2 linked regions of the Macaca mulatta genome follow. The protein of the gene in region 2 interacts with the protein of the main gene of each other region in a pairwise test. Links are inferred from orthologs where the notes say so. Each region holds a gene or a part of one and is shown on either strand. Other genes may lie near its edges.

Region 1 (5,506 bases), on a different chromosome or scaffold from region 2:
AGGCCCTTTGGGGTGAGGGGGCAGATCCATGCTCTGTATGCTTGGCAGAGAGTGGGAGGAGAATTGCCTTTGTGCTCTCTCTGGTGACTGGGCCATAGACTGGGGGAACAGGCTCCTGGGTCAGCACTCTGGGGGCCCCAAAGGCCTCATGGGCAGGAAGATGATGTAATTAGTGCAGTGGCGATGCTGTGACTCATAGGGAGGACTGGGCTGGTGATAAGCGAGGTGATGTGTGTAATGTTGCCAGCCAAGCTTCTCCTGGTATCCGTCTACCACTAACTCTCCTCCCTTCCTCCTTCTCCTTCCCTTCTTCCTGCTCGACCCCTCAGTGGAGGACAGAAATCCTAGATTATTGTCCCAGTACCCGCGTTTTGCTCATTGGCTGCAAGACAGACCTGCGAACAGACCTGAGTACTCTGATGGAGCTGTCCCACCAGAAGCAGGCGCCCATCTCCTATGAGCAGGTATGTGCATGTGCAAATGCGTGTTGTAGGTTGAAGTGAGGAAGGCTAGAGGCAGACAGCTTGAAATATGGCCCTGGCTCAAACTCTTCCACTATGGCAAGAGACAACTGCTGTAATAATTAGCAAATGAGTCACCTGGAGAGAGGTGGTGGGTACCTGCTTACCCAGATGTATGCTGTCAGTTAGCAGGCGAGTTATTCCTGTGTGTGCCCACATTTCTAAGACTGTATTCTGACCACCTGCATTAGAATCATTAGAGGTGTTCATTAGAATTTCACACACACACAAAAAGAGACCCTGTCTCAACAAAAAAAAAAAAAAAAAAAGGAGGAGGGGCACTGTGCACGGTGGCTCACGCCTGTAATCCCAGCACTTTGGGAGGCCGAGGCCGATGGATCACTTGAGCTCAGGAATTCAGGACTAGCCTGGCCAACATGGCAAAACCCTGTCTCTACTAAAAATACCAAAATTAGCAGGTTGTGGTGGCATGCACCTGTAATCCCAGCTACTCGGGAGGCCGAGGCAGGAGAATTGCTTGAACGTGGGAGATGGAGGTTGCAGTTAGCTGAGAATGTGCCACTGCACTCCAGCCTGGGTGACGGAATGAAAGACTCTGTCTCAAGGAAAAAAAAAAAAAGAGCCAGATGTGGTAGCTCACGCCCATAATCCCAGCACTTTGGGAGACCGAGGCAGGTGAATCACTTGAGGTCAGGAGTTCAAGACCAGCCTGGTCAACATGGTGAAACCCCGTCTCTACAAAAAATACAAAAAATTAGCCAGGGATGGTGGTGCACACTTGTAACAGAGTGAGACTCTGTTTCAAGAAAAAAAAGAAGTGATCTGCCTAGGCTGGAGTGCAGTCACATAATAGTTGTTTATACAGCCTTGGCCTCCCGGACTCAAGTGATCCTCCCTCCTGTTTCCCTAGTAGCTGGGACTATAGGTACGGGCCCCATACCTAGCTAATCTTTAACATTTTTTGTAGAGACAAGGTCTCATTATGTTTCCCAGGTTGTTCTTGAACTCCTGACATCAAGTGATTCTCCCACCTTGGCCTCCCAAAGTGCTGGGATTACAGGTGTGAGTCACCACACCTGGCCTGGAATCTGCATTTTTGATAAGACCCCTGGATAATTTCTTATGTGCATGAGAGCATAGGGTTGGGGGATGGAGTTTCGCTCTTGTCACCCAGGCTGGAGTGTAGTGGTGCGATCTCAGCTCACTGCAACCTTTGCCTCCTGGGTTCAAGCGATTCTCCTGCCTCAGCCTCCCAAGTAGCTGGGATTACAGGTGTCTGCCAACACACCCGGCTAATTTTTGTTATTTTTAGTAGAGATGGGGTTTCACCATGTTGGCCAGGCTGGTCTCGAACTCCTGACCTCAGGTGATCCACCTGCCTTGGCCTCCACTGCACCTGACCTGGGGAGCTCTTAAGAATACTAATGCTGGCTGGGTGTGGTGGCTCACGCCTATAATCCCAGCACTTTGGGAGGCTGAGGCGGGTGGATAACAAGGTCAGGAGATCGAGACCATCCTGTTTAACATGGTGAAACCCTGTCTCTACCAAAAATACAAAAAATTAGCCGGGCGTGTTGGCGGGCGCCTGTAGTCCTGGCTACTCAGGAGGCTGAGACGTGAGAATGGCGTGAACCCAGGAGGTGGAGCTTGTAGTGAGCTGAGATTGTGCCACTGCACTTCAGCCTGGGCACAGAGCAAGACTCTGTCTCAAAAAAGAAAAAAGAAAAAGAATACTAATGCCTTGGCTCTATACCCAGAATTTTTTTTTCCTTTTCCTTTTTTTTTTTTTTTTCTCCCAGAGACAGGGTCTTACTCTGTCACCCAGAATGAAGTGCAGTGGTATGATCCGAGCTCACTGCAGGGTAGAACTCCTGGTCTCAAGGGATCCTCCCTAGTATTTGAGACTATAGTTTTGTGCCCACTTCCAGCGAATGTTTAAACATTTTAAAAAAGTTTTTATTATTTTATTATTTTTATTTTTGAGATTTATTTTTGTAACCCCAAAGTGCTGGGATTACGGGTATGAGCCACCGCGCCTGGCCGCCTAGGCTGGTCTTGAACTCCTGGCCTCCTCAAGTGATCCTCCTACCACAGCCTCCTGAGTAGTTGGGATTAGAGGCACTAGCCACTGCCCCAGCTATCCCCAGGGATTCTGATTTAGTTTGGCATCAATATAGTTTCAAGAGTATTCCAGGTGATTTATAATGTGCAGTCACACATCGTCTTAAGAAAAAGAGGCATCATCAGACAGGGTGTATGCCAAAAAAAAAAAAAAAAAAGACAAGACAATCGAATAATCGGCAGAGGGTGGTATTTGGAGATCGGCAGCTGGGTCCCCTCTGGAGTGGCCCTGGGGAGTGACACACAAGAGGCAGCGTCTCAGAGCCATTGTGGCCCACTGCATTAATGCCCTCACCCCCTCCTGCAGGGCTGTGCAATAGCCAAGCAGCTGGGTGCAGAAATCTACCTGGAAGGTTCGGCTTTCACCTCAGAAAAGAGCATCCACAGCATCTTTCGGATGGCTTCCATGGTGTGTCTGAACAAGCCTAGCCCACTACCCCAGAAGAGCCCTGTCCGAAGCCTCTCCAAACGACTGCTCCACCTCCCCAGTCGCTCTGAACTCATCTCTTCTACCTTCAAGAAGGAAAAGGCCAAAAGCTGTTCCATTATGTGAAGTGGAAATTGGAGGGGGGAGACAACCCCCTACTTCCTCCCTTGGGGTGCAGAGGCACGGGGAGAGGGAGGATGAGACAATTTAGGACACTGGACATGAGTTTTTCAGATGGCCACGGTGAGGGCTTGGAAGGAGACAGGAATGGGGCGAGGAAGGAGCCAGGCCCGGCATGAGGACCTGATGCTGAGATAGAACCATCATACCCCAAGCTAGGCACTAGGTTGTGGAGGGGGCGGCTACCCCAGTGCCCCCCGGCTCCAGAGGAAGGAAAGCTGTGGGGGACGGGGGGCATGCTGGCCTCCTGGGCTTGGAGGCCTATAGCAGCCTCACCTTCAGCATCATGCCTCTTCCACACAGCGTTTCCATGCAGGCCAGGGGATGGGAGGGGTCCCAGAGCCCTTCCCTTCCCCTCTAAGGAGGCAGCAGTTGAACAGAGTGGGGAAGCCGAGTGGCAGCTCCCTTGGGGGTTTAGCCCAGGTGCTTCGTAAATGCAATCGGAAGTGCAGGAGCTGGTCAGAGCCAATGAGAAGGAAACCTCATCTTTGCATAGCCCATGCCTCATGGAGAGGTGACATCATACATTCACATGCTTCTCACCTAAGTCCCCAGGGTCCAAGGGAGAAGCCCCAGACCCCCTTCTCTTGCAGAGTGTGGGGGTGGTGGTGCTGCAGGGGCAGGGCTGGGTGGGGGTCACCAGACTTTTTCTGCCCTTAGGGCAGTACAGCTGGCATTTGTTTTATAGACTCTTGTCTTTGGAATTGGGGGGAGGGGGGAGTGTTTCAATCTGTTATATGTTCTGTGTTTAATGAAGAAAATCTATTTATTAATGAAAAATATAATACATATAAAGAGTTTGGCTCTGCATTTTTTTCTGTTTTCTTTAGTTGTTACAATCGGTATTTTTTTGTGTGTGTCTTTTTTTTTTTTTTTTTTTTTCTCCTTTTCGTGGAGCACGGGGTCTCCCTATATCGCTCAGGCAGGTCTCGAACTCCTGGGCTCAAGCTATTCTCACATCTCTGCCTCCGTAAGAGCTGGGATTACGGGCATGAGCCACTGTGCTGAGCCCTTTGATTGATGATAATGAGAGAAAAGCTGTCCTGGGGCCCTTTCTGTGGGTTGCAGAAGGGCTGCCTCTACCATTCCCCAGCTCCTCCAAGAAGGAGCTTCTCTCCTCCCCCATCCCCCTACCCCAGCCCCGCCCAAGACCTGCTAAACCAAGGAAGGGTTCCTTAGCCCTAGAGCAGGGGTACAGGGGTTCTCAACCCTGGAACTATTGACATTTTGAACTGGATAATGCTTTGTTGTGAGGGACTGTCCTATGCAGCCCAAGATGTTTAGCAGTGTCCCTGACATCTGGTGGACGCTAGAAGACAGCACCCCACTCTCCAGCTATCACACCCAAAAATGTCTCCAGACATTGCTAAATGACCCCTGTGGAAAAATTCTGGTTGAGAACCACTGCCCTGGAGAGTATAGAGGAGAGAAAAAGGTTTGATGAAATAATCAGTAGAGAATCCAAACTGCTGAGATCCCACTCCACATAGGTGGACAGACTAAGCCAAAGCTGGGGGAGGCTCCTGGGATTCTGGTTTCCTCTGAGTTCGAGGAGAGGTGACATTGCCTTCATGACCTTCCAATTCCGATGCCTACTGATGGCAGCTCAGGGACCTTAACTCTTCCTTTCTCAGTGACTTATAGCTCTTGTTTTCCAAGTGCCATAGTGTAGTGCTAGTGCTAGAAATAAAGTTAACATGTACTAGGTCGGGCGCAGTGGCTCATGCCCATAATCCCAGCACTTTGGAAGGGTGAGGCCGGTGGATCACAAGGTCAGGAGATCGAGACCATCCTGGCTAACACGGTGAAACCCCATCTCTACTAAAATACAAAAAATTAGCTGGGCATGGTGGCATGTGCCTGTAAGCTGAGGCAGGAGAATTGCTTAAACCCAGAAGGCAAAGTGCAGTGAGCTGAGATGGCACCACTGCACTCCAGCCTGGGCAAAAGAGGGAGACTCTGTCTCTAAATAAATAAATAAAGTTAGCATGTACTTAATGAGTGTTCAGCACTGTGCACTGTGTTGAGGGCTTTATATGATCACGTTTAGCCTCATAAATGATAAGAGCTAACATTTGTTCAATGTTTACTATGGGTCGGGGGCATTTATGAGATTTTAATTTTTTTTGGAGACAGGGTCTCACTCTGTCGCCCATGCTGGAGTACAGTGGCATGACTGACTACTGCTCACTGCAACCTCACCCTCCTGGTTCAACTGATCCTCCTATCTCACCCTCCTGGGTAGCTAGGACTACAGGAGTACCACAGTAGTCTATTTTTTGTAGAGATGGGGTTT
Region 2 (6,706 bases):
CACACCCAGCCCATGGCTGCAGTGAAAGCCCTTCCAAGTGTGCCTCCCTCCTAAGTCCTCTAGCTTTGTCGCACCCCACCCCCTTCACAGTCCAAACTCCCATGCCCGGCACAACTTATACCATCCCTCTCAGACACCAGGCCTATGCTCAAGCTTGCTCTTTTTTGGAATGCTCTTTTATTAGCCTGTAAAAAACCTACCAACTCTAAAAGCAAGGATTTCTGAAATCCAATGCAAAAAACACTAACCATAATAGAAAACATGGAACTATTGCACTATGTTAAAATTAAGAATTTCTGCTTGGCAGATGCAGTGGAGTACACCTAAAGTCTTACTATAGCTACTTGGGAGGCGGAGACAGGAGGATCACTTGATCCCAGGAGTTCGAGGTTGTAGTGGGCAATGCTGGTGCCTGTGAATAGCCACTGCATTCCAGCCTGGGCAACATAGCAGAGACCCCATCCCTCAAAAATATAATTTGTTTCAAAAGTCACCAGTAAGAGAGTGAAAAGACAAGCCACGCCTTGGAAAAGATATCTGCAAAGCATGTATCAAGGAACTCTATATCCAGACGGTAAAGAACTACAAATCAATAAGAAGACAGCCCAATTTTTTAAAGTTGGGAAAAGAATAGGCACTTCAGGAAAGACAACGTTCAACTAGCCAACAAGCATATTGAAAGGCGCTCAACATAAGGAAAAATGTAAATAAATACCTTAATGAGATACCACATTCAGCCAGAATGGCTACAATTAAGAAGAATGACAACAAAAATCCTGTGTTGACAAGGATAAGAGGCACCTAGAACTCTTTCATATTGCTGGCAAAGGCGTAAATTGGTACAATCATTTTGAAAAATTGGCAATGTCTACTATCACTGATCATGTGCATAACCTCCCTACACACCGGCAATTCCTCTCCTAGAAATGGGTGCAAGTGTCTACAAAAAGAAACATGTAAGAATGCTCGCTACAGCTTTGCTAGTAATAGTCCAAAAAATAGCAACGCAAATGCCCACCAACAGTGGAAAGGTAAATTGTGGTATATATATACAACAGAATACTATTCAGCAGTTAAAAGGCTACACACAACATGGATGAATTTCACAAAAATATTGATAAAGTAAAAAAGCCAGACACATACTGTACATACTGTATTATTACATTTAACTGGAATTCAAGAACAGACAAAACTGATCTATGGTGATACAGTCAGAAGAGTGATTATCTCAATATGTAAGGAGGTAATACTGATTGGGAAGGAGCACTAGGCGTGCTAGAAATGTTCCATATCTTGATTTGGGTAGTGGGGACAAGGGTGTATACCTATGCAAAAATTGTTCCCATACTGTATGTCACATCTCATTTAAAAAAAAAAAAAAACTTTTTTAACATGGAAAAAAACTTCAAGTCCAAATGCCACCTTCTCCATTAAAGTTTTGCCAGCTGCAATTAACCTTTTCATCAGGGCCTCCTTAGCATTCTGATGTCGTTTCTTTTATGCCATTTTATCACACTCCATCTTGAATCTCAGTGGAGTCTCCTTATTTCCCTAAATAGATGTTTATCTTCCTGGTGGCAGTGACCATGTCCTTCACCTTTTACCCACTCAGTGCCTGACAAATAACAGGCTGAAAAGATATTTATTGAATTACATGGAAGAAAAAATTGGGTGAGTTCCCAGATGGGTGAAAGAGGGGACAGGCAGAGGAAGGAAGGCCAAGAGAAGGACAGAGGAGGTTTCCAAGGAAACCGTGGCTCACACTGCAATTTTACCTACTTCCTGAAATCACATTAAATGTCACCTTGAGTGGCAAAAAACAAAACACCAAGTCCTACCTAGGCTGAAAATAAATATCACACTCCCTCACTTGAAAGAAATCCACCAAATAAATGCTACCTAATTCTGGGTGTTTCAACACTGGATAGGAAAACTGTTCAAGGAGAATAATTCACATTGCTATGCTGCTAAAAATATCACCTCCTTAGTGTGGTGCAAAGAGTCCAGACTGCAAGTCAGCCGACTTAGGGCTGAATTCTAACTCTGCCCGAACTTGCTGTGATCTGTGGCCAATCCCTTCGCCTCTCTGGGCCTCAATTTCCTCATACGTAACAACGGGGTAGATTAGCAAAGTCCCTTTATGTTTTGATATTCTGAGTATACAATCCATAGCTCTCCCGGTCCAAAGCAGGAATACAGCAAAAACCCCTGAAAAACACGTAAAAGGCGCCTCAGACCAACAAGCACGATTTGAAGAAGTCATTTTGTTATCTTTCACGGTTTAATCAGTGTTTTTGTTTGTTGTTAGCAGCCTTACCATGATTTGCAGAAGATGTCTGAGTTCCATGTAAACAGAAGTTAACTCTCTGCGGGCTGTCATCTTCTTTTGACGGTGAGAAGGGTCTTCCCGCTGGGTTTCAAGTCTCGGGATTCCGAAACCACCAACTCAGCGGGCGGGTTTGTGAATTTGCGCACACTGCGCGGCACACTGGAGTCTAAGTTACAGAGGAACCGAGTGCAGAGGATGCTGGGATTTGTAGTCTCCGGACCTCTTTGTGGTGCGCTGGGATCTGTAGTCCCCCGAGTGCGCCGCTGGAATGCTGGGAAATGTAGTCTCTGTCGCGTAGCACAGTGCAACCAGCTGCCGTCTCGAATGGCTAGTGTGCTCAGCTGCGGGAGCAGGTCCCTAAAGCCTCTGCAGATCCGAAGCCAACACTCCGCTGGGACAAACTCTAGGCAATAACACCAGATGAATATTGTGTCCTATGGGACTTCCCGGGGAGGGCCCTTCCCATTGACGTTAACAGTCCCCCTGCGAAGGCGCAGCGCGCTCCTACTGGCTGGTTGGGATGCCAATCACCAAAGCTGGCTTTCCATTGGTTCCAGGGGGGCACTGCGAGGCTAGGGGGAAGGAGAAGGGATCAGGAGCGGGAGCTGAGGGGAGAGAGAGGCCGGTCCTGGTCTGGCCGCTGCGGCTGCTCGCCCGAGGTCTCCAAGCCGGGCTGCGGCTCCATCCTCGGCTCCTGGGCACCGTCTGCGAGGCTCCGCCGACCAGAGTGAGAAAGCCGCGGGCGGCTAGCGCCGCATCATGTCAGCCAAGGACGAGCGGGCCAGGGAGATCCTGAGGGGCTTCAAACTGTATCCGCCCGGGAGCGGGGCGGGGCCGGGAGGACTTGGGAGGCGGCCGCTCACTGAGGAGACTGGCCGGGGGCGGGGGCCGCGCCAGGTGGGCCCCGCGGAAGAAGGGCTGCGGGAGGGGAGAGGAAAGGAAAAGCGTGCCGTGCACCCGGCGGGACCAGGCGCGAGAAGCGCCCCCAGGGGCGTCCTGAGGGAGGAAGGGGACGTTGACGGGAGCCACAGGGGGTGGCGGGTGGGGACGGAAGAGCTTGGGGTACTGGGCTGCGAGAGGTGCCGGGCGTCGCAAACGCTATCGGAGAGACCGGCTGGGTTCCAATCCCCGGCCGGGACCCAGAGGCCGGGAGGGGGCTGCGGCCCGCAGGGAAGGGCTGAGGGGGCGCGGTGGGCTGATCTTAAAGTCTAGAAGCCTCTTTGGCTATAAGCCTACCCGAGGAGCGGGGAACAGTGACTTGGAGCGGGCGACCTTGTGTGGGACAAATACCAGTGCTTTTAAAACTCTCTCAGGGCCCCCACCGCACCGCACCCCACCCCCGTCTGGTTTCCACAACTTCTCTTCCAAACTTGTGGCTTCTTCCAGGGCTAGAGTAGTTGGGGGAGGTGGGGAAAGAGAAGTCCAAGATCAACCTCGTCTTAACACTCTTGGTCTTCTGAGGCATTGGTCACTGCTTCCCCCTCAGCGCCTCAGTTTCCTTTCCAGCAACACGAGGACCATAGGCTTAGGTGTGGGGTGCCTCGCGCTGGGGCTCCTAGCCGAGGTGTCTTTGCTCGCTCCTGTTGGTGCGGTTAATGCCTAGCTGTGGTGGAGCTGTCCAGCAATAGTGTGATGTCGCTGGGGCCACGGTAGGATAGTGGGGTAGAGAAATCATTGCCTCGGGCCTGTTGTGATGCCGCTCTTGCAGCCTCTCCTTAATGTGGTAAGGAAGCTTTGTGTTTTCGTGGAGTGTGTTAGTCTGTCACCATATGATGCAGATGAAAAAATGCAAACTTGTATATTCAAATTTTCCATTCTCCTGCCGGCTTTAATCTCTGCATACATCCTGTCTGTAATCTATAGTACGGAACGTTCTTAAACTGCTCCCTCAGTGAAAAGGTAGTCACCGCTTTAGGACTCCTCCCTTGGAGGTTTAGTAAAGCACTGTTTTCTTGATATTCTGTTGTGTTTTCACAATGTCCATGTCACCCTTGCAAAATTTAATTGCTTTGCTATAATCAGAAACCAAGTTGGTAATACATTTTAGACCACAGTGCAAAAAGGAAGTTTTGGATGTACAAGTGAGATTTTTCAAGTGAAAATTGATCTAGGCTTTTAAAAAAACCTAAAGGCTGTATCACCTTTGCATACTACCATTCAGGATAAAGTTTCAGTACTTTCATGTAGTGATTTAGTAGCAGCCTCTTTAGAGCTCCATGTGCCTTTCTGTGTTTCTCTCCATAATGGATCATATAGGTATATAGGGATGACTGAAGTGCTGGAAAAGCTATGACATGAATTTTATTTTTCCCTCAAGTAATTTGTATTATTACTTAACATATAACAATGTAATAATATTGTTACTTAACATGCTGTGTAAGCAGTAAACCAGAAACTATGGAGAACTGAGAGATTTCAGAAGCAACGTTTTCATCTGATTGGAAATACCATATTGCTGAAAAGAAGAAATACCTTTTTAATGGCTTTTGAACAAAGCAGAAAAGTTTGAGCTTCTCACCTTCAGTCTTGGCTCTTGAACCTGTTAAGAAAGAGGATAAGAGACAAATACGGAAAAGAGTTTCAGAAAGCAGAATCTGTGTCAGCCCACTAGAAGGAAAAGCGAATCAACCAATTCAGTGATGTTAGTGCATCCAGAAACAGGCTTTCGGGGAAAGCTTGACCTGAGCTGATTAAATCCTGAAGCACCAGGGAAGCAGCCACATCAAAAAGTTAGCATGAGAGCAGTGGCGTGCTCATCCTCTGGTAGCCTTTATTGGGCATTTGTGGAGTAAGAGGGAAAAGAAAAGCAGGAATGTTAAGATATGCTACTACCTTCAGGAAAAAGTAAAATTAATGTTTTAGTAAGAAACTGACTATTGTCTACCTTTTATTGGGTAAATAGATTTTCCGAACTTTCTTTCAGAGTATCTGTTTCTGTAAGAATAGTTTATCACTACAAAAAGAGCACCATTATGTTCTCCCACCAACAGTGTTGATAGTACTCAGTTTTCCACATTGACTAGGTCGGTCTTTTTTGTTTGCCAGTTTAGATAACAAATGATATATTGTTTTAATTGGTATTCTCCTGGGATCCCTACATCCATGAAAAGGTAATGTAGCATAGTGGTTAAGAGCTATACTGGACTATGTCGCTATACTGCCTGCATTGGAATTCCAGCCCTGCACTCCTAGTTGTGTGTCCCTGAGCAACTGCTTTAACCTTGCCTCAATTTTCTTATCTGTAAAATGCAGAAAATAATAGTATACTACCTATCGCATGGGGCTTTGAGAGTAAATGAGTTGATATCTAAAGCATTTAGAAAAGCACCTGATCTACAGTAAGCATTATGCTTTAGCTAGTGTTATTCTTGTTGTTATTAGATAAGTTGCACATCTCTATTTGGCCATTTCTTTTTCTTCTGTAAATTGTTAATTTTGTTTTTGCCCATTTTACTATTAAATTGTTTATTTTTCTTATTTGTAGATGTTCTTTACATATTGTAATATCAATCCTTTGCCTATTATATATTTTGCAAATATTTTCTTTCAATGTATTGTCTCCTTTTTTGTTGAACAGAATTCTAAAATTGTCATTTCAAATTTATTTTATTTGTTTGAGATGAAGTCTCGGTCTGTTGCCCACATTGGAGTGCAGTGGCACAATCTTGGCTCACTGCAACCTCCGCTTCCCAGGTTCAAGCAATTCTCCTGCCTCAGCCTCCTGAGTAGCTGGGATTACAGGCACATGCCACCATGCCCGGCTAATTTTTGTATTTTTAGTAGAGACGGGTTTCACCATGTTGGCAAAGCTGTCCTCAAACTCGTGACCTCGTGATCCGCCTGACCTCTGCTTCCCAAAGTGCTGGGACTATAGGCGTGAGCCACCGTGCCTGGCCTCAAGTTTATTAATATTTGCCGTCTGGCTTTTGCATTTTGTATCTTGTTTAAAAAGATCTTTCTTATCCCAAGATTAACTAAATATCCTATCTTTTCTTCTCTTTTTAATGTTTAGCTCTTTAATCCACCTGGAACGTATTTATACATTTGGTATAGGGTAGATATCTAAGTACTTCTGCTGTTTGAATAGCCAGTAGTTCCAGTACTAAGTACTAAGTCCGTCTTTTCCTCACTGTTTTGAAATGCCATCCTTGTCATATACTAAATTTTCATAAGACGTAGGTTTATTTTTTGATTATTTCTCTTTCATTGATCTATTTGTCTCTTCTTGTGCCTATACACATTTGGTTGAATTATTATAGCTTTATGATGTGATTTAGTACAGTTTACAATAGGATTGGTCTGTGACTAACATAATATGTGTGTTTAAGGTCCCTATAAATATTTATGCCCCTTTTATTCACATAGAAGCTTGCCATA

The links.
Region 1: the proteins of PDE6D (region 2) and RND1 interact in a two-hybrid assay, tested with the Homo sapiens proteins (2 studies listed by BioGRID). The link is inferred for Macaca mulatta from reciprocal best matches to the Homo sapiens genes PDE6D and RND1.

What each region holds. Positions count from the first base shown.
Region 1 is NC_133416.1:56,014,822-56,020,327, reverse strand, and holds the end of RND1 (rho-related GTP-binding protein Rho6), read left to right. Parts: intron 1-329; coding exon 330-464; intron 465-2,910; coding exon 2,911-3,156; 3' UTR 3,157-4,005; downstream 4,006-5,506. UniProt on the Homo sapiens protein: Lacks intrinsic GTPase activity. Has a low affinity for GDP, and constitutively binds GTP. Controls rearrangements of the actin cytoskeleton. Induces the Rac-dependent neuritic process formation in part by disruption of the cortical actin filaments.
Region 2 is NC_133417.1:137,044,829-137,051,534, reverse strand, and holds the start of PDE6D (retinal rod rhodopsin-sensitive cGMP 3',5'-cyclic phosphodiesterase subunit delta), read left to right. Parts: upstream 1-2,893; 5' UTR 2,894-3,088; coding exon 3,089-3,138; intron 3,139-6,706. UniProt on the Homo sapiens protein: Promotes the release of prenylated target proteins from cellular membranes. Modulates the activity of prenylated or palmitoylated Ras family members by regulating their subcellular location.